Linked DNA regions of Macaca mulatta. The protein of the gene in region 1 purifies or fractionates together with the protein of each later gene. This does not show direct contact. Links are inferred from orthologs where the notes say so. Each region holds a gene or a part of one and is shown in the gene's direction. Other genes may lie near its edges.

Region 1 (3,300 bases):
GGGAGGTGGTGGTTACACCATTCGTAATGTTGCCCGGTGCTGGACATACGAGACAGCTGTGGCCCTGGATACGGAGATCCCTAATGGTAATAGCTGCAGGGCCAGGTTTGGCTGGGCTGGGTGGGAGCTGGAGCTCATCTGTCCTTAAGTTTATAACCCCTTCCCCGTTGGTCATATGACCACTGTTCTTCTGATACTAGTCACTGAGTCCCCTGCATGTCCTCTTGTGATCAGCAGACCATAACCATCACTTTTTCCCTAGTCCTTTTTAGCTCTGTCCCCTCTCCCTTCTGCTTTTGGTCTGGACAAAGTTCTCAGTGGTAATTTACAGCTTTGGAATTTCTGCTCTGTAGAGTAACTGGAGTAGTGAGTGAAGGGAGCGTTCATAATGAGCATGGGCTCAAGTGTCCTAAACCAGGAACATGGACCTTCTCCTAGCGACATATACACCACTGGTATAGACATAGAGTGATGTTAACAAGATGGAAATCCCATAGGTACCCGTGTCTCACCGTGTCTTGGAGGCATTCTCCTCTGTTTGACAGATGGATCAAGGGCCCAGAGAAACCTACAAATGCTTTAGGGTGCTTACGTGCAAATGGTTCAGGTGCGGTGGCCAGGTCTCTTAACGGTCTTCTCCCTGCCCCAATCAGAGCTTCCATACAACGACTACTTTGAATACTTTGGACCGGATTTCAAGCTCCACATCAGTCCTTCCAATATGACTAACCAGAACACGAATGAGTACCTGGAGAAGATCAAGTGAGTATATCCTCCAGCCACCCCTTGGTTGAACATTCCTGACTTTGGTTTGTCCCTGACCAGAGCCCTGCTACTCTCTCCCACTGGCCACAGACAGCGGCTGTTTGAGAACCTTAGAATGCTGCCGCATGCACCTGGGGTCCAAATGCAGGCGATTCCTGAGGACGCCATCCCTGAGGAGAGTGGCGATGAGGACGAAGAAGACCCTGACAAGCGCATCTCGAGTAAGACCTAGACGCAGAGCCCTATGCCTTCCACTCAGTAGGCAGCCCCCACTTCCACCACCATTCCTGGCTGCACACTCTCCAAGCTCCCCACCTTGGAGAAATCTGTTTCCAGTTCCAGTGCCTGTAGGAACAGGTTAGGGAGCCTGAGCTCCTCCCTCTTCTCTGGTTCCCTTTCCCTTGGTGTCTCTTGGAGGGCCTGCAGGGAAGCACTGGGCATAGATGCTGAGCTAGATCGGCACCCGCCTGCTCTCACCCATGCTTCCCACTCCCTCCCAGTCTGCTCCTCCGACAAACGAATTGCCTGTGAGGAAGAGTTCTCCGATTCTGAAGAGGAGGGAGAGGGGGGCCGCAAGAACTCTTCCAACTTCAAAAAAGCCAAGAGAGTCAAAACAGAGGATGAAAAAGAGAAAGACCCAGAGGAGAAGAAAGGTGGGTTTGGGTTCAGCCGGGACTTGGGTCTTGAGCCTGAGAGGATGAATCTATGTAGGGCAGTGGGAGGAGGGAGTGACTCAGGCCCTGCCAGCTCCTGTGGGGCTCTTCCTCAGTTCCTTGAGCCTTTCAGTGTCTCCCAGAAGTGGCAGGGCCCACAAAACAACGAACCTCTACTGGCCAAGCACGGCTCTCACATACCACCCAAGCCCTTTTCCCAGCACTGCACCCCAGTTTCCCAGGGGGCTGCCTCCGCCCACCAGATTCTGGCTGTAGCAGGCTGGGAAACCGGTCCAACCTGTTCTCTACAGGGCTCACTGGGAAGACCAGGGATGGGCTTTTCTCTCTTTTATGTCCAGTGAGCGTAGTGTTGGGGAAGGGGTCTCAGGGTAAATGAAGACCTCACGGGTCTTTCCAGAGGTGCTGCCCTTAGCCATCCCTGTACTCTTGTGTTCTAGAAGTCACAGAAGAGGAGAAAACCAAGGAGGAAAAGCCAGAAGCCAAAGGGTGAGGAACGAGCTGCCTGCAGCCATCTCCCTGGCATTGGAGCACCAGCCCCTTTGTCCCACTACTCTGAAGAAAGGCACAGGGACAGCTGGTCCAGCTTACAAAGGCCTCTTTCAGGGACCAGTCTGTCCAGCTCTGCAGTTCTAGGCAGAGCTAGGAGCCCCAGCCCCCAGTAGTCACCTGGGATCCTGTGGAAGTCACTGTGTCTGCACTTTTGCCCCGAGGCTCTGGGCTGGGTCATCTCATGCCAGTCTCTGCTCTCTCCACAGGGTCAAGGAGGAGGTCAAGTTGGCCTGAACAGACCTCTCCAGCTCTGGCTCCCTGCTGAGTCCCTCACCTTTCTCCCCCAACCCCTCAGATTTTATATTTTCTATTTCTCTGTGTATTTATATAAAAATTTATTAAATATAAATATCCCCAGGGACAGAAACCAAGGCCCTGAGCCCAGGGCAGCTGTGCTGGGTGAACTCTTCCAGGGGCCACATTGCCACCCATTCTTCCCCAGTTCTTAACTTTGAACCATAAAGGGTGCCAGGTCTGGGTGAAAGGGATGCTTTTATGCAACCGTAAGACAAAATCCTGAAATGCGAAGTGCCTGCTTAGTAGCTTTGGAAAGGTGCCCTTATTGAATATTCTAGAAGGGGTGGCTGGGTCTTCAAGGATCTCCTGTTCTTTTCAGGCTCCTAAGGTAACATCAGCCATTTTTAGATTGGTTCTGTTTTCATACCTTCCCACTGGCCTCAAGTGAGCCAAGAAACACTGCCTGCCCCGTCTTCTCCTAATTCTGCAGGTGGAGGTTGCTAGTCTAGTTTCCTTTTTGAGATACTATTTTCATTTTTGTGAGCCTCTTTGTAATAAAATGGTACATTTCTATATCCTCCTGAGCTTGTTTCCTACGTGTCATTGGGTTGGTTTCAACTCTTACTTCCCTGCCCTTCTGGTGTCCATGAGTATTGGGGCAACCCCCTGAACAAGAAAACCCCATAAACTTACCTGCCTGCCTTAACTCCTCCCTTGAGGTTTGAGGTGAACTACTTTCCACCAATCTTCTCACCCTACCCCCAGAAGACCACTCATTAAAGCACCACTAAAGGGACGACATTTATTCCTTTTCCAAATGTTACAGTAAAACCAGGTGGAAGAGAATGGTTTTAGCAGTTAGAAAAAAAAAAAAAGTACAAATCTGGGGTTTGGCCATTAAAAGTTATTTACAACAATGGGAGAAAAAAAGACAACAAGAAGTTGTTTCACATTACAGACCTCCCCCCACCCCAAAGCCTAATACTTGCTTACCAAGTCAAAAAAGAGACACAGTTGATTCACAAGCTGGAGGTTTGAACTTGAGTAAGACATTTATAAAAACCTAGACGGGGCA
Region 2 (3,500 bases), on another chromosome or scaffold:
GTGGATTGCCTTGGGAACCCAGTAACCATATTTAGTATGATTTCTATGGCAAAACTTGTTGAATTAAAAATAAGTAATAAAATTGATAATCTTGACATACAACCTGTAAAATCATTTTGTGAATAGGATGCATGAATAGGCAATGTATTTGATTGTTAGTATTTTCATATTTACTACTAGGGATGCATGGGAAATGCATAAATGGTGGGCAAAGTCATTCTTCTTTTCCTATTTATAAATAAAAAATGAAGAGGAAAGTGAAAGAATAAGTTAGCTATATAATATATATATACGGTCTGAAATTGTCTCTAACTTTTTATAACTACAAGTTGAGCATCCTAAATCTGAAAATCTGAAATCCAGAATGCTCTAAAATCCAAAACTTTTTGAACACCAATATAATGCTCAAAGGAAATGCTCATTGGAGCATGTTTGACTTTGGATGTTTGGCTTGGGGATGCTCAACTGGTATAATGTAAATATTCCAAAATCAAAAAAAAAAATCTAAAATCCAAAACAATTCTGGTCCCAGGCATTTTAGATAAGGATGCTTAACCTGTACTTTTAGTTAAAAACAAACCTTTGGAGGAAAAGCTGTTTTTCTTTTATGTTTTAAAAACAAAGCAGTCAAAAAATCTGATGAGTGGCATGAATTCTAAAATTTGTAAAGTATTATTTCTGATATTAAAGGAAGATGTAGATTCCTTCATGAAACAGCCTGGGAATGAGACTGCAGATACAGTATTAAAGAAGTTGGATGAACAGTACCAGAAGTATAAGTTTATGGAACTCAACCTTGCTCAAAAGAAAAGAAGGTAAGTGTAAAACTTTCTAAGTTTTGAAAATCGTATATGGCTTGAACTTTAAAAAAATTGAGATATAATTTACATATGATAAAATATTCAGATATCAAGTCCTCCAAGGTGGCTGTACCATATGAAATTCCCACCAGCAATGTACAAGAGTTCCAGTTCCATATCCTTGCCAACACTTGGTATTGCCAGTCTAAATGTGGTTTTGAAAACATAATAGAATGGTTATTAAAGACTGTATTCCAAAGCTTTCAAAATCATAACATCTTATATGTCTAGTTTATCCTTCTAATTTTGCCAACAAGATTAGAGACCCACAGGGTCTGGGGCACAAGACTTAATTAGTTATGAAATCCCAAGATTTCATAACTAATAGGCATAGGAAAAAAGGTATCCTTACTCTCAACTCTTTATTTCCCTACATAATTTTATATAGCTTATAAAGTCAATTCACTGTAATAAATATTTGTAGATCTCTGTTTTGTACATGTGCCAGCATTCTTCTGTGAGATAAATATTTATGGAATGCCAGCTAGATGCCACATACTGTTTTGGGTGAAATAACATCCAGTATCTGCTTTCAACAAGGACACAGGACTGGGCATGGTGGCTCAAACCTGTAATTCCAGCACTTTGGGAGGCTGAGGTGGGAGGATCTCTTGAGTCCAGGAGTTCAAGACTAGCCTGGGCAACTTAGGGAGACCCTGTCTCTACAAATAATTAAAAAATAATTAGGCTGGGCGCGGTGGCTTGTGCCTGTAATCCCAGCACTTTGGGAGGCTGAAGTGGGCGGATTGCCTGAGCTCAGGAGTTTGAAACCACCCTGGGCAACATGGTGAAACCCCCGTCTCTACTAAAATACAAAAAAATTAGCCGGGCATGGTGGCACGGGCTTGTAATCCCAGCTACTCGGGAGGCTGAGTTGGGAGAATCCCTTGAGCCCGGGAGGTGGAGGTTGCAGTGAGCCGAGATTGCGCCACTGCACTCCATCTTGGGCAACAGAGTGAGACACTGTCTCAAAAAAAATAATAATAATAATAATTAGCTGGGTATGGTGGCATGCACCTGTGGTCACAGCTACTCTGGAGGCTAAGGTGGGAGGATCACCTGAACCCAGGACGTTGAGGCTGCAGTGAGATGTGATCATGCCCCTGCACTCCAGCCTGGGCAACAGTGCGAGATCCAGTCTAAAAAGCAAACAAACCACACAAAAAACCAGGGACACAGGTTGGGGGGAAATTATAGGTATATAAATAAAATTAGCACACAAAGTAGAGCAGTGGAGGTACTTCGGTACAAAGTAATGAGTTACAGGGGATGGTAACTCATTACTTTGTACCAAAACACCTCATTAATCTGGAGGGGCCAAGGAGGTTCAGAGGAAGCTTCTAAGAGGAACAGATACCTGTGTAGAATTTCAAAGATTAGTTATGAGTTTGGAGGCAGACTAAAGTGAGGAAGGGTGGTCTGGGCATAAGGCACCATTTATGCAAAGGTACAGAAGTTTGTAGATGTATTTTCTCATTTGATTTTGGTGACAGTTGTAGAAATTTGAATATGTACTTTGTATTAGATGAGATGAAAAGTCATTGACATGGAAAGATGGAGGGTGTAAATGGACAGAAGCAAGATAGAAATCATTAAGAACAGTATACTCTTATTTTGGAAAAAAATGTATATATGCACAGGAGTATCTAGAGAAGTCCACACTAAAGGCATATTAACAGTGGTAATCTCTGGGTAGTTAGAATATGGCATTTTTCTTGTTTTTGCTTATCTGTATTCTTAATTTTTTACAATGTACATGTACTGCTTTTGTGATAGTAAAAGTTTATTTGAAAAAGAAAAAGCCATTGGATTTGAGATCATCTACAGGGAGGTTACAGATAGAGAAGAAAATGTGCCTTGGGGTGGGGTGCAGTGGTTCATGCCTGTAATCCCAGCACTTTGGGAGGCTGAGGTGGGCAGATCACTTGAGCCCAGGAGTTCAAGACCAGTGTGGACAACGTGGCAAAACCCTATATCTACAAAAATTAGCTAGGTGTGGTGGTGCATGCCTATAGTTCCAGCTACTAGGGAAGCTGAGGTGAGAGTATTGCTTAAGCCAGGGAGGTTGAGGCTGCAGTCAGCTGTGAGTGTGCCACTGCACTCCAGCCTGGGCAACAGAGTGATACCCTGTCTCAAGATAAAAAAAAAAAAAAAAAGGAAAAGAAAATGAGCCTTGGTACCGAGTCCTGGGAGAGAGGGAAATTTGTGTATCAAAGTTACATTGCTCTTCTAACTAGTAAATTAATGATAGACGAAAAAAAAAAAAAAGAAAAAAGTTATATTGCTAACTCTACAACTGTGGTATATAGCAGGATACTCACTCTAGCTTAACATATGGTCTAGGCCTAAATGTGGGGAGAAGGGGTAAAAATTCGAAGCACTGAGGAAGCATCAGTGAACATTGGTGTTCTGGATGAGAACAGTGTTTGTCTAGTGTTTTAAAAGAGAATGGTAGAGTTGGAGATAGTGAGTTAGGAAAACTTTCTTGAGTTTTACCTATTTTAATAGTGGGTTGGTTATTTTTTTGAGACAGGCTTTCTCTCTGTTGCCCAGGCCAGAGTGCAGTGGTATGATCACAGCTCACTGTAGCCTTGACCTCCTGAGTTCAAGCAGTTCTTCCACCTCAGCCTCCCAAGTAGT
Region 3 (4,006 bases), on another chromosome or scaffold:
GGGACTCCCCCAAGTCCCCGCCCCCAGCCTTCCATCAGTTCTGCTATCTCAACACTTAGCCAGGTACTTCACGGTACAAGTGATGGCAGTCGTGGGGATGCACATGAACTCTATTTGAGGGACTTAGATCAGTGCTAGGGATGAGCTACAGGTGGCCAACCTGCCCACGGAAATTGTAAGCAGGAATCTGTGTTGGTCATATTTTGTCTGGGGTAAATGGTTCATGTCTTCAGGAAAGCTAAAAAAAAAAAAAAAAAAAAAAAAAAAAAGCTAAGTTTGGATTAAGGTGCAGGGAAAAACTACAATTCCCAGAAAGCTCTGGAATAGTTAACCAAAGAGAACTACAGTTCCCAGAAGGCCTTGAATTGGCCTCAGGTGCCCCACCTGCCTGTGTCAAATACTGCGTGTGAAATCATACAGATATTTTCTAACTCGACCAAAACGTAATACCTAAAAGGATGGTACCCTAAATACAGCTATCGAGGTTGTCTATCTTGGTGTACATCATTTATACTTAAAGTGTCCGCTGGGCTATGACCCACGGAGTACCTGACTGTGCTTATGAAGTGTTCGGCAAAAAAGGTTTACTTACTGCAGTGTCACCAGTCAGTAATGACGTTCGGGCCGCTGGGCTTACCTGGATCCCTAATGCGTGTGGAGGTGTAACACGCCTGATATAAACAGAAGAGACATTTTGCCACAGGTTTTCAAAAGGGCACGCTGCTCCAGGGGACATGAAGCAATATGCTAGAAGCAGCCAAGAACAAAGGTGTCCTCCGCGTCCCTATCGCCCTCTTCTTGCTCGTTAGAAAGGCGAGGCCAAAACTGAGGCCGAGCCTTCTATCTGGTAACCCAAAAACTAGAAAGGCAGAAAAGCAACCAGAGGCGGGAAAAGCCCAAGCAGGCCAGAGGAAATACAGCCGCTGCCGAGAGCCGGGAGGTTCAGAAGCTCCGCTTGTTACCTAAAACCAGATGGGGACAGAGACGCCACACCTAGGCCCAGGCGTGCCTCGCCCTCGGTCCCTGCAGAGCTGAGGCCAGGAATGACAGGAATTCTCCCTTGCAGCTCCCAGCTTAGGACAGTCACAGCCATCTCCGAAGCCGCTGTCAGGGGAAAATGGCCAGAAAGCGTGTAGCGGCTCCTTTAAGGCTCCTCCTCGCCCTCCCTCCCTCGCCCACGTGACCCGGGGCGGCCGCGCGCCGGCTCGGCCCCCCGCGCAAGCGGCGATGGCGGCGGCGGCGGGAGCTGCAGCGGCGGCGGCCGCCGAGGTGCGGAAGGGGAGGGGGAGAGGCGGGTGCATGCCCGCGCGCGCGCCCGGGGGAAGCGCGCGCCCGTGCAATGCTCCGGGGGTGCAACGGGGCCGGGGGGCCCGGGCGGGACTTCCAGCAATCCGGGGGGCCAGCACCGGGGGCGGATGAGGGGACCAGGGGGTGGGAGGTGGGGGGAGTGGGCACGGAGGCGCGCGTGCAGCCGCCGGCTGCCCCTGAGTGGGCGGCGGGCGCCGGGGCCCCAGGAGCACGCGTGAGGGGCACGAGGGGCCGTCCACCGGGCTGGGGGGCAGCGGGTGCTGGAGGGGTTGGTGCCCGGGGTCCCCGCGGCCTGGGGGACAAAGGGGGAGCGGCGCGTGCAGCCGGGAGGAGGGGGCGGGGCCGGGGCACGGAGGCCCCGCCCCCTCCCCCTCCTCTTCTCTCGGCCCCAGAGATGCGGGGTCTACCGAGAGGGAGGGGGTTGATGCGGGCCCGGGGGAGGGGTCGTGCGGCCCCTCCGGGCAGCCGAGGCCGCGGAAGAGGGGGGCCCCATAGAGGAAGAGGTAGGCCCCGGAGCCTACTCTCTCTTCCCAGGGCCCAGGCATCCTGGACCCCCCAACTCTCTACTGGGCTGACCAGCCCTCCTGTCCCTTGTCTCCCCTCCCAGGGGGAGGCCCCCGCTGAGATGGGGGCGCTGCTGCTGGAGAAGGAAACCAGAGGAGCCACCGAGAGAGGTGAGTGCAGCTAAAACGGGCCCCAATTGGACCGTCACCTTCCCTAGACACAGGATCTCCGGAGCCCTTAGCTCTGAACTTTTTCTCTTCCTCTACAGTTCATGGCTCTTTGGGGGACACCCCTCGTAGTGAAGAGACCCTGCCCAAGGCCACCCCCGACTCCCTGGAGCCTGCTGGCCCCTCATCTCCAGCCTCTGTCACTGTCACTGTTGGCGATGAGGGGGCTGACACCCCTGTAGGGGCTACACCACTCATTGGGGATGAATCCGAGAATCTTGAGGGAGATGGGGACCTCCATGGGGGCCGGATCCTGCTGGGTGAGAGGCTGGGTAGCCTGGGGGGTGGGTGGGAAGTTTCTGACTCTGCTTTCCTTCTTATCTTGCCTTCTACTTGCCTGTTTTTTAGGCCATGCCACAAAGTCATTCCCCTCTTCCCCCAGCAAGGGGGGTTCGTGTCCTAGCCGGGCCAAGATGTCAATGACAGGGGCGGGAAAATCACCTCCATCTGTCCAGAGTTTGGCTATGAGGCTGCTGAGTATGCCGGGAGCCCAGGGAGCTGCAGCAGCAGGGCCTGAACCCCCTCCAGCCACCACTAGCCCAGAGGGACAGCCCAAGGTCCACCGAGCCCGCAAAACCATGTCCAAACCAGGAAATGGACAGGTGAGTGGGATGGGAGAGATAGGATAATCAACCATAAACCTTTGGTGAGAGCTCTTTTACAGTTTCATGTAAGGCTTCTACTCCATTTACTCATTCACATGTTTAAACGAGGGGCTACTGTGTATCAAATATTAGGCTGTGCTTAATCTGTGAACCAACAGACAGGTTCTTCTCTTTCTGCAGTTTACATTCTTGGGTGGTGAGAGTTTGATGTTAAAGAGTCAATTATATAGTTAATGTCTTAATTACTCTTATGATAATGACAAGGTAAGGGAATTTCAAACCACTCTTCCTTTCTACCTCAAAGCAAGCCCTTGGGGAACTCAACTGTCACTGCTCTATTTGTAAAGTTTTTCATGGGAATCCCAGTGGGAAAGGAGATGAGGGCCACAGAAATAATAGAGGAGGGAAGTGGCAAGGGCCCCAGAGGCCCAGAAGCTTTATGACCAAGCTCTAGGGTTACTGGGTCATACCAATTGTTGACCTAAAGAAAAAAACTGAGGCAAACTTAACATTAAGTAGAATATATTTGGGCAGGTTTTGAGGACAGCCTTCAGGAGCAAAGATTCAAGTTGCCCTGAAAATACACTCTGATTAGCAGCGGTTACAAATAGGGTTGTTTGTTTGTTTGTTTGTTTGTTTGTTGTGTTTTGGTTTTGAAGACAGTTTCACTATGTTGCCTGGGCTGGTCTCAAACTGCTGGGCTTCCGCAGTCTTCCTGCTTTGGCCTCGCAAAGTGCTGGGATTACAGGTGCAAGCCACCACAACCAGCCCACAAGTAGGTTTTTAAAGGAAAAGAAGATTGGATGACATGAAGATATTGAAAAAAAACAGGCTGACTCTGGGCACACTGCCTAGGAGTTAGCCCTGCTCTGGAAGGAGCCACAAAAAGAAAAAAAAAAAAAAGATAAAAATTTTTTAAAATATTGAAAAAATAAAACATAAAGGAAAAGAAGAGGCAGTTCCTAAATTGTTTACCAGAAGTTTACATTAGAATAACAAGCTATTGATCTGCTATACATTGTTCTTTGTCTCACAGATACTATGCACATGAAGATAATGGGTAAAGCAGCACCCTAGTCAGATACAAAATGCCTTTAAGCAGTTGCCTCCAGGCATGGGCCCTAATTAGGTTCCATACTCACTTCTCTCTGAGCCTGATAAATTTTGCCTGCTTCGCATAGCACAGATTGCTATGAGCTACTTTTCCTTTCTCACTATGATAAACGTTAATTTTTATAGTTGCAGTTCATTTTGTAAAAAATAGGGAAGAAAAGAAAAATTGAATTTATAAATTAGGTACAGTGAGAGATTAACAACAATAACATAATAGCATGATTATAACAATAGGCTGGGCGTGACTTG
Region 4 (3,934 bases), on another chromosome or scaffold:
GTTTATTCACTTAGCATAATGTCTTTAAGGTTTGTCCATGTTGTAGCGTATATCAGAACTTCACTCCTCTTTATGTCTGAATAATGTTCCATTGTATGGATGTACCACATTTTGTTTATCCATTCATCAGTTGATGGACATTTTAGGGATGTTGGAAATTATGAATGCTGTTATGAACATTCAAACATTTATTTTTAAAATTACTTTTATGTAAAATTAAGTCTGCTTTTAACATTATGACAAATACTTTTTTCCCAGTTCTAAATTCTCAACGAAAATTCTCCCTGGTATCAGACTAGCAAACCAATGAAGAGTTTCATGGACAAATGTACCTGAATGAACTAAAAAAGTGCATATAAATACCATAATTAGCACAGGTGCTCATTAGTTATATAAAACAGCAATAACACTAGGGAATTAGTAGCAGTATAGAGCTCCAACTGAACAGTACATGGCAACCTAATCTATCATTTAAGTTTATCACAGAGCTTATTTGGAAGTATGTCTACTTTACTCTTCTAAATATAAACTCAATGAGCTGAAGCTACTGCAATACGAGCTGGCAGCAGAAAAGGGATGGTGCAAGTTTTCACCAAATTATTACAATTTGGTAGTAGAGGATGTGTCTGTTTTGATGATAGTGGCTGTTTTTGTTGTGATGTTTCTGTTGTGATGATAGTTTTTCAGTCTAAAACAGCACTGTGTAATATAAAATCTTAAGAGGCTATTTTAGTGTATTTAAAACTAAAAAATTTTAGTTACAAAAGTTTCCTAAAAATTAGTGATACTTTTTGAAAAGCTGGTTCAAGTACATTTTATTAATTTTTTTCAATAGAAAAGAACAGTGTATTCAAGGTATTTAGTACAAGGTGGAAAGCCTACTTTATTTTTCAATGAGTGACTGAATTCAACTTCTACTAGATTTCCTCTGTGAAGTTGCGTCTATTAAACATCAGTCTTTCATGGGTGATTAACTTCACTGAAAACTTCATGTTCATCAATATCGTGTTGAACTTGAAACTGTATTACCATACATCTGTTTATTAATAGGCAATGGTGTCAGATAATGGTGAAATGGAGAAGTCGCCCATCCATTTGGGTGGGAAAATAACCAACACCCTCAGTTGTAATCCCACTAAGAACCGCCAGGGCGAGAAGCAAGCGGCACCGCTTCCATCTTTACGTGAGTCTTGGAAATGGTTCAGCACCATGACGTCCGCCGAAGACGTAGGTGTAGACGAGGAACAAAAGAGAAGACCCCTCGTGGAGGTGGCCTGTGGGGCCCGCCCTCCCCGGGCGCCGTCGCCGTCTGTCCCTGACTCCGCTCCCCCGGGGGCCGCAGCGAGTGCGCCCCGCGATGGAGCGGGCTGTGGAGGGAGCCTCCATGGAGTCTCCATCAACAGTTGAGGACCAGGAGACGGTGGCAGGCGGTAGAGCGGCCTGGGCAGGGCCAGCGCCCCGGGCTGCGGAGCACAGGACGGCGGCGCCCAGGGACGCCCCAGGGCGGGCCTCGGCCCCTCCAGCCGGCGGGAGCCCAGCTCCAGGGGAGCCCGTAGCTCCCTCCATCTTGGTTGATGGAGGCGGGGAGCGGCGTCTGGGTCTCTCCACCGTCGTGCCCGTCCCCTACGGCCCCGCGGACGCAGACGCCAGCAGCCGGGGCTGTTCCCTTGGCCGAATGGCAGAGCCCAGTCGGGGCTTCCCGGGGACAAGTTTCCCGGCCCCACGGGGTTTGGTTTTTAGGGGGTCCCAAGTTCCCACAGTCGTGCCGACAAAATGGAGGACGTCGTCTCCTCCTGCTGCAGCCATGGCGGGAGGTGGGGGACTATTCCCCACGGGGCGCGGCGAGGGTGGAAGGGCCTCCACTGCCCCCAGCGCAGTCAGGGCTCCAGTTCGCCCGCGGCCCCGAAAGCCCACTCGGCCCCGCTCCAGCGCCTCCCCGGCCTCGCCCCTCGCAGGGGCCTTCAAGGAACTGGACAGGGAGGGCGATGGGGCATCGAGGCCGCGGCTCTCCTCGGGCAGGGGCGTTGGGAGCCGCTGCCGCGGCCTGGGCGCCCAGGCTCGGGCGAGGGCAGGCGGCCCCGCCGGAGTCTCCCGGGCTGTCTAGGTCCCGGAGAGCCCCGGGCCCTGAGGAGCCGAAGCGGGGTCGGTGCGGCGGGCAGCGAATCTCGGGCTCCTGACCCTGGCAGACCCGGTGGGTGGGGGCGGGGGACCGGCGGGGAGGGGACCCGGCCGGGAGTCGAGGGCCGGCGGAGGCGGGAGTGGAACGGCAGGGCCGGGGGAGTGGCCCGCACCTGACGGACAGCCCTTCGGACCACCCCACCGAGGGGGGGCCCTGAAGGACTGCCGTTGGAGCCAATGGGCAAGCCCGAGGCGCTCCGGCCCGCCTCCCCCGTCAGCCAATGAGCGCGCGGAGGGCGGGGCCTCCCCGGGCTCGGCCGCGCCGCCGCCTCCTCCGCCTCCTCCTCCTCACCAGCGCTAAAGCCGGGACTGGACCGAGCGGAGTTGTGCGTGTCGCCGAAGGGGGGTGGGCCGGGGGAGGGGAGGTTCGCTCCGCGGAGCCGCAGCCAGAACCGGGTGAGGCTTATCCCCGCTGTCTTTCCAGTCCGGGGCCGCCGAGAGTGGGGGTGGCTGGGAGCAGCGCAGCCTCCGGAGGAGGAGGCGGAGGCGGAGGCGACTAGGGAGGCGGAGATGGGTGAGGGCAGCCTCCGGAGCCTCCCACCGACCCGGGATTAATACCCCGCGGCGCGGCCGCCGTCGCCGCTGCCGCGTCGGGGCCTCGGGGGCAGCTCGGGGCTGCGCTCATGTCACAGGCGCCTTCGCGTGCGGCCCGAGGGGCTGGGAGAGTGCGGGCGAGGCCGGGAGGGCTGGGTGAGGCGGCCGCCAGCGGCGGGGGTCGCGGGGCCGGCGGGGCGGCGGGACGGCGGGGCGGGGGTGCCGGCCGCCCGGGGAGGTCGCGGGGCATTTTCCTTTCTCTCCTGCGGGGGGCGGGGGAGGGGCGCCCCGGCCGGGTCTCCGCGCTCGGGGCCGCGCTCCCACCCTGTCCGCCGGAGCCGAGGTCCCCAAGTTTTTCGGGGTGAGGGCTGCCGCCTCTGCCCCGCCGGGTCCCCTCCTTCGCTCTTCTCTTCCTCGGCGCTGCGCTGCGCGGCTCTTGCTCCGCACGTATTGTTTGGCTGGGTCTCTAATGGCGGACGGGGAGGCAGCGCTGCCGGTCGCCGACTGCAGGGGGGGGCAAACCTCGGGCCCAGGGCAACTGCTTGGGGCAAATGTGGGCGATATCGGCCCAGCGGTGACGCGAGCCGCCCCTTACCTCTGAATTGGTACTTGGAGTGACGGGGATGACGCTGGGTGGGCGAATTTAGGAGGGAATACAAATCCCTTGCTGGCGTCGAGGCAACGTTTTCCCTTCCCCCCTCCCTTCCCGGGAGCAGGCTCGGTGTCCTCAGGCCCCCTCCTTTCCAGATTTTGCCTTTCACATGGGTTTTGGCCCCAGATATACATTTTGCGCTGTTTTGCCCCACTTACGCAGGAGGGGGCTATTGTGCGCGTGGTGGGGTAATAATAGAAGAACCGAACCTCCTTGACCTCTTATTCCCTTCTCTGCCTCCTTCTGGCAGAAAGGGTTGGTTTCTCCCACCAGGTTGTGTGTTCTTGATACATTTTTCTTTTTTCCTCCTGTCCCAGGACCAAGAATCGCCTTCAGCCCTGTCCGGTGCATCCTTGGCAGAAAGTGAGGAGGAAAACACCCCCATTGTGAGTCCCTTGCCCCTAATTTGTTGCTAATAGAGGACATTGTCAGGTTGTAGGGGTTCAGCTACGGGACCTGGCCCTCCCAGTTGTTTTGAGGGGGAGGAGCTTTCCCTTGGGTGGCAGCTGCCCCCAGGGCGAAGCCTGGGTAATGGCTGGTGAGGCAGCTGGGAGTGGGCGCTGCTGTTTC
Region 5 (3,500 bases), on another chromosome or scaffold:
CCAGTGTACACAAGCGTTATGCACCAAATTATTAAAAATATTGCATAAAATTACCTTTAGGCTATGTGTATAACTATATGAGACAAAATAATTTTGTATTTAGACTTGGTTTCTCTCTCCAAGATACCTCCTTATGTATATGCAGATATTCCAAAATATGGAAAAATCTGAAATCCAAAACACTTCTGGTCCCAAGCATTTCAGATGAGGGATACTCAACCTGTATTAAAATTATTTTATCTAAAAGAATTGCTCATTCTGTCTCTATAATAAAGAAGTCTTATAAGTTAGTCTATTAGCACCGTGATTATGGCAAAACCCCCCTTTAAGGGAATAAATAACGCATTCCTTGCTTAAATACCACTGTGTTTTTTTTAAAAAAACTTTCTATTTAGGACTGGCAGCCTCCATTCGCCTGTGAAGTAAAAAGCTTTCGTTTCACTCCAAGAGTCCAGCGCCTGAATGAACTTGAGGTAAGTGTTTTGTCACCGTTTCTGCCTCCTGATTCATTCTTTGTGTTCGGGCTGTAGGTAGAGAACTTTGAGAAGCTCATGGACCACAGCCTGGAGTTTGTGTTAATTGGTATTGAATAGTTACTTGATGTTTGGAGGAAGAGTGTGATTTTTTAAAAAATTGTGCAAAGTAGTTATGGTTTCTCCGTTTAACTGAGATCATGAGAAACTGTCTCTAGCCCTGTTGTTCTAGTGGAAATGTTCAATGTTTAGCTTCAATGCTTAGAATTCTTAAATTCTACTTTCTCTAGTGTTTCTTACTCTACTAAAAGTTTTGTTAATCTCCGAAGATTTCTGTCTCCCTTCATTCTTGGAAAATGGATTTTTAAATTATGTTTTAAAACCCTAGTTTTCAAAGTTAGTTTTGTTTTGTTTTGGTTTTGGTTTTAATGGAACTTTGCCAGGAGTGCTAATCTGATTTATTAAGATCTGCCTTTAAGCATTACTAATGTATATTAAATTATCTAAATGGAAGTCTATTTATGTATTGCTGTTTTTCCTGTCTGCGGATTTTCAGAAGGTTTTTCATTGTGATATGAAAACTTTTAGAGTACAGAAGGAAAATTATTGATAGCAAAGGTTTATTATGTCATTCTGAAGTGTTCCCCCCCCCCCAAAATATTTCTGAGAGTTTAATACATACTTTTTTTTTTCTTTTTTTGAGACAGAGTCTCGCTCTGTCAGCGAGGCTGGAGTACAGTGGCACGATCTTGGCTCACTTCTACCTCCACCTCCTGGGTTCAGGCAATTCTCCTGCCTCAGCCTCCCTAGTAGCTGAGGTTACAACGACCATGCCTGGCCAATTTTTGTATTTTTAGTAGAGATGGAGTTTTGTAATGTTGGCCAGGCTGGTCTGGAACTCCTGACCTCAGGTGATCCATCTGCCTTGGCCTCCCTAAGTTCTGGGATTACAGGCATGAGCCACCGCGCCTGGCCGCAATACATATTTTTTCTTTTTAGTCTTGTAATTAGATGCTTGACAAAGAATATTAGTATCAGTGAGGTATAGAGTTGATGCACCTAAAGTGTGCATGTTACCTATGGATGAAATGACAGAATGTTAGAGACTGAGGAGGATCTGATTTACTGAATTTTCTGATCAGCATAAAGTTAAACCAACTTACAAAAATTGTTTTGGTTGCTAATATGACAACTTTTTACATAAATCAGAGTGACCTTTTTGCCTGAATAAATACAGTTTATTAGAAGTCTTTTGCCTCTTTATTTTTGGCTAGTTTTACTATTGGCTAGTTTTACCGGGTTGAAATAAGCAATAATGAAAAGTCTTTGAATTTCTTTAGAGAAATGAATACCTCTATTACAGTGGTCCCAGACCTTTTTGGCACCAGGGACTGGTTTCATGGAAGACAGTTTATCCATGGATGGAGGGGGGTATGGAGGATGGTTTTGGGATGAAACTGTTCCCCCTCAGATCATCAAGCATTAGATTCTCAAAAGGCGCGCACAACCTTAATCCCTCATGTGCAGTTCACAGTAGAGTGGGTGGTAATGCTTGCCTGCTGCCGCCGCTCACTCCTGCTGTGCGGCTGGGTTCCTAACAGGCCACTGACGGGTACCAGTCCGTGGCCCGGGGGGTGGGGACCCCTGCTCTGTTGTCCTCGTTCATTTCAATCGTAACTTTATTTTTATTTCTGTATTTTAATAATCTTAGTTTTTATTTCTGTATTTTAATAATCTTAGTTTTTATTTCTGTATTTTAATAATCTTAGTTTTTCTGTATTTTAATAATCTTAGTTTTTATTTCTGTATTTTAATAATCTTAGTTTTTATTTCTGTATTTTAATCTCAGGCAATGACCAGAGTGAGACTGGATTTCTTGGATCAACTAGCAAAATTTTGGGAGCTTCAAGGATCTACTCTGAAGATCCCTGTGGTAGAGAGAAAAATCCTGGATCTCTATGCTTTGAGCAAGGTGAGGCTTATACTGGTTTAGAAATTAGAGCACAGGCTTGTCAATTTAGGAATATCAAATACGTTTGGTGGTAAACATTGCTTCCAGTGGAGGATTTGTTTGACAGTGAAATGCACTAGCCGGGTGTGGTGGCGGCGCCTGTAATCCCGGCTACTCGGGAGGCTGAGGCAGGAGAATTGCTTGAACCCGGGAGGCGGAGGTTGTGGTGAGCCAAGATCACGCCATTGCACTCCAGCCTGGGCAACAAGAGCAAAACTCTGTCTCAAAAAGGACAATGAAATGCACATTTGAATAAATGGAAATGAGAGATCTCAAAGTTATCTTTAAAAGTTATTTTATATTTGTTGAGATTAATATGTAATTACCAAATATTAATATTTATCAGGCTCGGCCGGGCGCGGTGGCTCAAGCCTGTAATCCCAGCACTTTGGGAGGCCAAGGCGGGTGGATCACGAGGTCAGGAGATCGAGACCATCCTGGCTAACATGGTGAAACCCCGTCTCTACTAAAAATACAAAAAACTAGCCGGGCGTGGTGGCGGGCGCCTGTAGTCCCAGCTACTCGGAGGCTGAGGCAGGAGAATGGCGTGAACCTGGGAGGCGGAGCTTGCAGTGAGCCGAGATCGTGCCACTGCACTCCAGCCTGGGTGACACAGCGCGAGACTCCGTCTCAAAAAAAAAAAAAAATTTATCAGGCTCTGTGATATACAATATGCAAAATAAATTACTCTAGCCTGCTAATATTATCTTGTGTTGAGTGTACAATGTTCTGTGTTGAGCTTGTCATCCTTTTTTGTTACTTAATTGAAAATTTGGCCCAGGCACGGTGGCTCATGCCTGTAATCCCAGCACTTTAGGAGGGAGGATCACTTGAGCCTAGGAGTTAAGAGACTAGCCCGGACAACATGCTGAAACCCTATCTCTACTGAAAATACAGAAAAGCTAACTGGGCGTGGGTGCACACCTGTAGTCTCAGCCACTCAGGAGGCTAAGGTGGGAGGATCGCAAGTCCGGAAAGTCAGGGCTGCAGTGAGCTGTGGTTGCACCACTGCACTT
Region 6 (4,171 bases), on another chromosome or scaffold:
CATTTTACCAGCCGAGTAACCTTGGGCACCCTCTTTGTGCCTCGAAATTTTAAGGATTGAGATGATATGCTATAGTGTTTGTATTAGTGCCTGGTACATGGTACTTAAAAGACACTAGCTGTAATTATTCTTCAGGACTTTATTTTTTTTACTCTCAATGCTAGCAGCTTTTCTTCCCTCTCTCCTGTAGGCATTCTCCCAGAAAAAAGGCTGACTCTGAGGTGCCATTTGAGAGAAATAGGTTCAGTAGATTCTTCCAGAGATAACAAACGAAGAGACTTGACGTGAGAGTAAGAGAAGTAGGGGCGTTAGGACACTGAAGTGAGAGAGCTTCTTCTCTTGGCATTGGAGAAGCCAGGAAACATAAAGGCTTTTGCAGGGATCAGGTGCGTCCACTTTGCAGTGTATTTGGAGAGAACAAGCAGTGTTCACATATCAGTCCAGCAATGTCTCAAGACTCTTTTCTGGAACAGTCATCAGTTTAATCCAGTGAGGATGGTGTCTCTCCTCTTTCATGAGCATTTTCCTATTTTTGAAATGTTAGTAAGTAGGTGCTTTGTTCCTAGGAAGTGGAGAGAAGTCAAGGAAAATACTCATCGTACTCCTAGAAGTCAATGAAAACACTCCTCGTACTCCTTATGGCAGCTGGAGTGGCTGCCGTGAGCCAGCTGCCATGAGGTTATGGAGAACGTCTTGAATATTCTATTCCCCAGCACCTAGTGCAGTGACTAGCATAGTAGGCACTCAAAAAGTGTCGGTAGGATTATATTTCAAACTTTAGTTGTCTTTCCCAGAGAAGCCTGTCGTGCCCACACGCGGTCGCAAGAAGTCCGCGCCTAGAAATAACATTTATTCTAAGGATCTCTGCGCAGAGATTCTTGGGAAGCGGTTCCCCTCCCACATTCCCTAGTTACTCCTCCCCTCGGCGCCTTTGAAAGAAATAGCACGCCACATGATTCCCTCCTTTCTCCCACCTCCGAAGACCTGACTGATAATGGGCAGGAGCGTAAGCCAACCATAAAACTTTATTTCCTCTTCCAGCCAATAGCAAGAGGGGATGAGTATATGGCTCCTCTTTTGTGACTTCCCCCGCCCCCTTGGATTACGCCCCCTATTCCTCCACTCAGATTCCACACTTGACAACACATCTGGCCAATGAGAAGTTCCTACTCTGCGTGGGAAGGATGGACTGACTAGATGATAGACGTCCACCCCTGGCCAATGGAATATCACAAGTGCGGGAGGGGTGTAGAATGGAACCAATGGCGAGGTGCCAAAAACGAGCATCAGGGAAAGGGCGGGACGAAAGTGTTCGCGGGAGGGAGGGGAAGGCCCAGGGAACCAAGCAGCGCTGCCGCCGCCGCCGCCGCTGCAGCCGGAGTTGGAGGAGGGAGAAGCCAGGAAGAAAATGGCGGCCGTGGCTGCAGAGGCGGCAGCGACTGCAGCGTCCCCCGGGGAGGGGGGCGCCGGCGAGGCCGAGCCGGAGATGGAGCCCATCCCCGGCAGTGAGGCCGGCACTGACCCCCTCCCGGTCACGGCCACTGAAGCGTCTGTGCCGGATGGCGAGACCGACGGGCAGCAGTCCGCTCCTCAGGCCGACGAACCGCCGCTCCCGCCGCCACCGCCGCCGCCGGGGGAGCTCGCCCGCAGCCCAGAGGCGGCGGGGCCGGAGCTGGAGGCTGAGGAGAAACTGTCCGTTCGGGTGGCGGAGTCGGCTGCAGCCGCGCCTCAGGGAGGGCCCGAACTTCCACCTTCTCCAGCATCGCCACCGGAGCAGCCCCCGGCACCCGAGGAGCGCGAGGAGCCGCCGCTGCCTCAGCCCGTAGCCCTGGCGCTCGTGCCGCCGGCGGGCGGGGTTTCCACGGTGTCGCAACTGATCCCGGGCTCGGAGGTGCGGGTCACGCTGGACCACATCATTGAGGACGCGCTCGTCGTGTCGTTCCGCCTCGGGGAGAAGCTCTTCTCCGGGGTCCTCATGGATCTGTCCAAAAGGTACCGCTCCCGCCCCCAGCACGCTCCGGTCCGCTGGGTCCCCAGGGAGGGAGTGAGCCCGGGGGGCCCCCTCTCCCCGAGCCCTCGCTTCCCTGCTGCCCGGGGCCCCGCCCTCTGGTCCTGCGCGGCGCGTGGCGCGCGCTCCGAGTGGGGCAGGCGCGCGAGACCGGGAGAGGGCGGTCCCGGCTCCAGGTGGGCGCCTGCGGGGCAGGTGTGCCACCAGGTGGGAGGGCGCGGGTGCAGATGGGCTCACAGGTCTCACCCCTCACTCCTGGCCTTCTGCGACTTGGCCTGGACTCACCGGCACTGGGCGGGTGGGTTAATGCAAGATGCAGATGGATTATTGCAGAGAACGGCGTGTTGGACAGGGGGAGGGAGGCAATCCTTGCGAGGAGGCACTTGTCTGTCCTCAAATCAACGTTTAACTTTAGCAGGGCTGGAGAAAGGGGTGTGTACATTGGGGATCCCAAAAGGTTACCTGTCACTCCTTACAGGGGGAAGAGCATTTGTTAAAATGAACCTTTTAACTGTGATTCTTACGGTTAGAAGTCATTCCCGTTAGGTTAACCATTCAATAGAGAAGCATATTTTACTAATTTTAATGATAGTTTTAAGAAAAGTTTAAAGAAGAGATTGGAGATTTCAAAAAATCCTTTAATGTCAAGGTGGTGTAGCATAAAAATGTTCAAATAACTTCTAACACCTGGGATACCGTTTATATACTAAGGACAAGAAGGTTGAGTTCATCTACAAATTTGGCTTAACCAGCACATTTTCATTTTTTGATTTAAAATGTTTTTGGGCTCTGCTTTAAACAGGGGAATAAACCTGTTCTAAATCTGGAGTTAACCTTTTTATTCTCTTCTTTTGCAGATATGAAGTGCAGAGACTCCCATTCACGCCTTTCCATTCTGTTTCCTACAATAGCGCACACTCTGATGGTATCTCACCTGTTTGCCATGGCTTATTAGTATGTTTTACTCTTAAACTGCTTGCTTTCCCATCAAGACACAGGAATCCTTCTTTCCCATTTGGGGAAAAAAGCCATTTAAAATTTCATATTAAAGTATGGTGTTTGCGGCGGGAAGATGAGAGCAGTTACTCTGTATTATTTAATCTCAAATATCTTTTTTTTTTTTTTTGAGACGGAGTCTTACTCTGTCCCCCAGGCTGGAGTGCAGTGGTGCCATATCGTCGCACTGCAACCTCTGCCTCCTGGGTTCAAGCGATTCTCCAGCCTCAGCCTCCCAAGTAGCTGAGACTCCAGCCTCAGCCTCCCAAGTAGCTGGGACTCCAGGTGCGCGCCACCATGCTGGTTTAATTTTTGTACTTTTTAAGGAGAGACAGGTTTTCACCATGTTGGCCAGACTGGTCTTGAAATCCTGACCTCAGGTTATCCACCCGTCTCAGCCTCCCAAAGGGCTGGGATTACAGGCATGTGCCATCATGCCAGGCCTCAAGTATCTTTTTTAAAAATAATTTTGGATTAGGGCATTTGCACTTCTGTTTATGTTTGTTTGTTTACTTATTTAATAGAGACGGGGTCTTGCTGTGCTGCCCAGGCTGGTCTCAGACTCCTGGGCTCAAGCGATCCTCCTGCCTCGACCTTCCAAAGTGCTGAAATTACAGGCATGAGCCACTGCGCCCGGCCTGCACTTCTGTTTTCATAATTAGAAAGCAGAATAAGGTGAGTGTACTTTCTATTGATGTATTTTATTTATTTACTTATTTTTTTTTTGAGACGGAGTTTTGCTGTTGTTGCCCAGGCTGGAGTGCAGTGGTGTGATCTCAGCTCAGCTCACTGTAACCTCCACCTCCTTGATTCAAGCGATTCTCCTGCCTCAGCCTCCCAAGTAACTGGGGGCTAATTTTGTATTTTTAGTACAGATGGGGTTAACCATGTTGGTCAGGCTGGTCTCAAACTCCTGACCTCAGGTGATCCACCCACCTTGGCCTCCCAAAGTGCTGGGATTACAGGCATGAACCACCTCGCCCGGACTCTGTTAATGTATTTAATAGTGAGAGACACTCAGTGGTGTGTATGCTGTTGAATGAAACAGAAGAGATGGCCAGTGATTGTGTGAGAATCTGGATTTCAAATCTGCAAAAGGAAGGTGCAGAAGGTAAGTTGATTTTGGAAATGGAATGGATAAGTGCTCATTGTGTTAGTGCTTTATTT
Region 7 (3,500 bases), on another chromosome or scaffold:
CATTGCCTAATGCGAAACATTACATCCTTTGATTAAAGGCTGTGGGAAACTTTTGTAAGTTCCTATCTTAATGTACAGTAAATGTTGAGTTGTTTATGTATTAATGCACATTTCTTAGAACTATAATACTGGATATGAATTTAGAGGTTGCCCCAGTTGAAGAAGCTATTGGCCAGAGAGGTTAAGTAACTTGATCAAGGTCACATCTCTTTTTAATAGCAAAAAGAATACTTCAATCTTAGTCCTGTACAATAGAGGTACAAACATATCTCTCAGTGTACTACAGCAATATTATTTGCATTTCACATAGAGCCTTTACATGATTTTGAGATGCCTGAGACTTTTCTCATGGAGTGATTTGGATATGAACAGCAATCACACGTGTCATTTTTGAACAGCTGTTGAAGAAGGCAGAACATGATTATGCCACTTGCTTAATATATTACATCTGGTTGCTGGGAAAATTTAAAAATTCCTTGGTGGTTGGAAGAGAATTTTTTCCCCCCTTTTTGGAGTATTTCATTCAAAAACTCTATTTTAAACTCTGAATTTTGGCTGCTCAGTGGTGGCTTAATTGTACTCCTGTTGAGATACACACTGAGAATGGAGGAAGGATTTTACGTAAAGTGCCCTTTGAAGGCTTTCATAGTCCTGATTCCATGTAATTTCATAATTTGGGAAAGAAAGCAGAGCTGTAGTTATTTTTATGATGGAATTATTTTATTTTGCCATTCAAACATCTCCATGACCTACTCATGTGAGAAGTTGGGAGCCCTTTGCAATGAAACAGAACCGTAATCAAATAAGGCCCTGGAAGATTTTTCTTTTTTGTTTGTTTGTTCTAGATTGGGAAACATTCAAAATTCTTTATTTACATGGTTCTTCTTCACTAGTATTTCCTGCATACTCAATTCATCTTTTTGTTTGTTTGTTTCACTGAGCTTTAATTATAAGCCATTTTGGGTGGTCATTTGAGCACCTGTATTTTACCTAAAACAGAGACCTCATCTTTGCCTGCAGCCTCATTGCTGTAGGAACTGAACAGAATATTTCATTGGAGAACATCTGCCTTGAGTACTTTTTGAGCAAGTGCCTCTAGTTTTGACAGTAACGCCTCACCTTTTGAAAAGAAATCCCATGTGATTAGGATGCTTCTGTAGGGGTGTGATTTGAAGGAGGCAATAGTAAAACGTACTGTGTTGAAAATTGTTTTCTTAGTTTAAAAAATGTATTATTCAGTCTTTCAAATTATGGTACATTTATTACTTACCCTCACCTGTTACTTTGGCCTACAGTGTATAACATAATGAGCCTCTCAAAGAGTAACTGTTGAGAAATGAAGAGTGAATTTATTTGGCTCTGTGATTATTCAAGTGATTTCATAATAAGCAGGAGTACTATTGTATTTTTTGATGTGGAATACTTGGCAGTACCCTCCCCCTCCCCTGCAGAGGACCCATTGAATTAATGACACCTCAGAAGTAAAGTCCATTTCTTCTTTTCTCCAGGTGACTTCAGGTGGAACATTCATTGGCATTGGACGGAAAACACCAGATTGCCAAGGAAACACCAAGTATTTCCGCTGTAAATTCTGCAATTTCACTTATATGGGCAACTCGTCCACCGAATTAGAACAACATTTTCTTCAGACTCACCCAAACAAAATAAAAGCTTCTCTCCCCTCCTCTGAGGTTGCAAAACCTTCAGAGAAAAACTCTAACAAGTCCATCCCGGCACTTCGATCCAGTGATTCTGGAGACTTGGGAAAATGGCAGGACAAGATAACAGTCAAAGCAGGAGATGACACTCCTGTTGGGTACTCAGTGCCCATCAAGCCCCTCGATTCCTCGAGACAAAATGGTACAGAGGCCACCAGTTACTACTGGTGTAAATTTTGTAGTTTCAGCTGTGAGTCATCTAGCTCACTTAAACTGCTAGAACATTATGGCAAGCAGCACGGAGCAGTGCAGTCAGGCGGCCTTAATCCAGAGTTGAATGATAAGCTTTCCAGGGGCTCTGTCATTAATCAGAATGATCTAGCCAAAAGTTCAGAAGGAGAGACAATGAGCAAGACAGACAAGAGCTCGAGTGGGGCTAAAAAGAAGGACTTCTCCAGCAAGGGAGCCGAGGATAATATGGTAACGAGCTATAATTGTCAGTTCTGTGACTTCCGATATTCCAAAAGCCATGGCCCTGATGTAATTGTAGTGGGGCCTCTTCTCCGTCATTATCAACAGCTCCATAACATTCACAAGTGTACCATTAAACACTGTCCATTCTGTCCCAGAGGACTTTGCAGCCCAGAAAAGCACCTTGGAGAAATTACTTATCCGTTTGCTTGTAGAAAAAGTAATTGTTCCCACTGTGCACTCTTGCTTCTGCACTTGTCTCCTGGGGCAGCCGGAAGCTCACGAGTCAAGCATCAGTGCCATCAGTGTTCATTCACCACCCCTGACGTAGATGTACTCCTCTTTCACTATGAGGGTGTGCATGAGTCCCAAGCATCAGATGTCAAACAAGAAGCGAATCACCTGCAAGGATCGGATGGGCAGCAGGCTGTCAAGGAAAGCAAAGAACACTCATGTACCAAATGTGATTTTATTACCCAGGTGGAAGAAGAGATTTCCCGACACTACAGGTGAGTCAAAGGGGGGTAGGTCAGGAGGAATATACAAATAAAATAATAGAAAAAATCCACAGAAAGAGGGCTGAACCAGGAATTGTTGGGAGTGATTCCGATGACTTGGGGAAGTTATAGGAGAAGACCACATAAAAGATCATCACAGATTTGCAGGTGGTATAGTTATAGCTGTGATCACTGTAGACTTTAATTTGGTTCCTTCTTTTGGACTGTATGCTCATGTTTGATACTTGTTTTATACCATTTACTGATTGTCTTTTTAAATTCACAGTGATTCTAATAATGCTGATGAGTTTACTAATTTATCATAGTCCATTTATTTGTCCTTACTAAATATGACTCCACATCCTATATTTCTTTGACAGGGCAACTCCCAAATGAAAGTTACTATTGTAAATATATCCTATTCTCTATTCTGAGAAAAAATTTTGAGAACCTGTTGCTCATTTTTATTTTAAAATGAGATTATATATTCTTCTAGCTTTGAACAATTCTGCAGCATCCTTGTTTGGCATATAAACAGTAATCTAAAGGTGAGAATTTTTGTAATATGTGTGATTTTGGATGTAGACTTGCTCCTCCAAGTAGGTAAAACTGCTTGAGTTATTCCAGATTCTTAAATGGATGTGGGATGTTTGTGTTTTCCTTCTGCTTTCACTCTATTCTCTTTATAAACATTAACTTTCCCAGTTAATCTTTTATAATATCTAGAGATAAGTATAGGATATGTATCTTTATTTCATTGATGCATTCATTCTTTACTTAATTAATGTCAAAACTCCTATTGTACCAGGCATTGAATGAATATAGAAGAGAAGACATAGTCAGTGCCCTCATGGAACTTATAGTTTAGTAGGAA

Evidence for each region.
Region 2: the proteins of HDAC1 (region 1) and VBP1 purify together in Homo sapiens (affinity purification with mass spectrometry; 3 studies listed by BioGRID and IntAct, with this or other methods). This does not show direct contact. The link is inferred for Macaca mulatta from reciprocal best matches to the Homo sapiens genes HDAC1 and VBP1.
Region 3: the proteins of HDAC1 (region 1) and EHMT2 purify together in Homo sapiens (co-immunoprecipitation; 7 studies listed by BioGRID and IntAct, counting the BioPlex papers as one, with this or other methods). This does not show direct contact. The link is inferred for Macaca mulatta from reciprocal best matches to the Homo sapiens genes HDAC1 and EHMT2.
Region 4: the proteins of HDAC1 (region 1) and ZMYM2 purify together in Homo sapiens (affinity purification with mass spectrometry; 7 studies listed by BioGRID and IntAct, counting the BioPlex papers as one, with this or other methods). This does not show direct contact. The link is inferred for Macaca mulatta from reciprocal best matches to the Homo sapiens genes HDAC1 and ZMYM2.
Region 5: the proteins of HDAC1 (region 1) and KDM5A purify together in Homo sapiens (co-immunoprecipitation; 4 studies listed by BioGRID and IntAct, counting the BioPlex papers as one, with this or other methods). This does not show direct contact. The link is inferred for Macaca mulatta from reciprocal best matches to the Homo sapiens genes HDAC1 and KDM5A.
Region 6: the proteins of HDAC1 (region 1) and PWWP2A purify together in Homo sapiens (co-immunoprecipitation; 5 studies listed by BioGRID and IntAct, counting the BioPlex papers as one, with this or other methods). This does not show direct contact. The link is inferred for Macaca mulatta from reciprocal best matches to the Homo sapiens genes HDAC1 and PWWP2A.
Region 7: the proteins of HDAC1 (region 1) and TRPS1 purify together in Homo sapiens (co-immunoprecipitation; 3 studies listed by BioGRID and IntAct, with this or other methods). This does not show direct contact. The link is inferred for Macaca mulatta from reciprocal best matches to the Homo sapiens genes HDAC1 and TRPS1.

The regions. Positions count from the first base shown.
Region 1 is NC_133406.1:208,542,809-208,546,108, reverse strand, and holds the end of HDAC1 (histone deacetylase 1), read left to right. Parts: coding exon 1-86; intron 87-653; coding exon 654-762; intron 763-855; coding exon 856-986; intron 987-1,265; coding exon 1,266-1,418; intron 1,419-1,876; coding exon 1,877-1,925; intron 1,926-2,194; coding exon 2,195-2,222; 3' UTR 2,223-2,800; downstream 2,801-3,300. UniProt on the Homo sapiens protein: Histone deacetylase that catalyzes the deacetylation of lysine residues on the N-terminal part of the core histones (H2A, H2B, H3 and H4).
Region 2 is NC_133426.1:161,513,092-161,516,591, forward strand, and holds part of VBP1 (prefoldin subunit 3), read left to right. Parts: intron 1-690; coding exon 691-815; intron 816-3,500. UniProt on the Homo sapiens protein: Binds specifically to cytosolic chaperonin (c-CPN) and transfers target proteins to it. Binds to nascent polypeptide chain and promotes folding in an environment in which there are many competing pathways for nonnative proteins.
Region 3 is NC_133409.1:150,415,598-150,419,603, forward strand, and holds the start of EHMT2 (histone-lysine N-methyltransferase EHMT2), read left to right. Parts: upstream 1-1,206; 5' UTR 1,207-1,227; coding exon of another isoform or gene 1,228-1,269; 5' UTR 1,270-1,339; coding exon 1,340-1,982; intron 1,983-2,080; coding exon 2,081-2,299; intron 2,300-2,387; coding exon 2,388-2,641; intron 2,642-3,523; exon of another isoform or gene 3,524-3,602; intron 3,603-4,006. UniProt on the Homo sapiens protein: Histone methyltransferase that specifically mono- and dimethylates 'Lys-9' of histone H3 (H3K9me1 and H3K9me2, respectively) in euchromatin.
Region 4 is NC_133422.1:1,840,430-1,844,363, reverse strand, and holds the start of ZMYM2 (zinc finger MYM-type protein 2), read left to right. Parts: upstream 1-1,134; 5' UTR 1,135-1,227; intron 1,228-2,468; exon of another isoform or gene 2,469-2,868; intron 2,869-3,681; 5' UTR 3,682-3,750; intron 3,751-3,934. UniProt on the Homo sapiens protein: Involved in the negative regulation of transcription.
Region 5 is NC_133416.1:1,160,124-1,163,623, reverse strand, and holds part of KDM5A (lysine-specific demethylase 5A), read left to right. Parts: intron 1-395; coding exon 396-473; intron 474-2,322; coding exon 2,323-2,445; intron 2,446-3,500. UniProt on the Homo sapiens protein: Histone demethylase that specifically demethylates 'Lys-4' of histone H3, thereby playing a central role in histone code. Does not demethylate histone H3 'Lys-9', H3 'Lys-27', H3 'Lys-36', H3 'Lys-79' or H4 'Lys-20'.
Region 6 is NC_133411.1:168,981,767-168,985,937, reverse strand, and holds the start of PWWP2A (PWWP domain-containing protein 2A), read left to right. Parts: upstream 1-1,371; 5' UTR 1,372-1,408; coding exon 1,409-1,992; intron 1,993-2,878; exon of another isoform or gene 2,879-4,115; intron 4,116-4,171. UniProt on the Homo sapiens protein: Chromatin-binding protein that acts as an adapter between distinct nucleosome components (H3K36me3 or H2A.Z) and chromatin-modifying complexes, contributing to the regulation of the levels of histone acetylation at actively transcribed genes.
Region 7 is NC_133413.1:125,971,339-125,974,838, reverse strand, and holds part of TRPS1 (zinc finger transcription factor Trps1), read left to right. Parts: intron 1-1,508; coding exon 1,509-2,638; intron 2,639-3,500. UniProt on the Homo sapiens protein: Transcriptional repressor. Binds specifically to GATA sequences and represses expression of GATA-regulated genes at selected sites and stages in vertebrate development. Regulates chondrocyte proliferation and differentiation.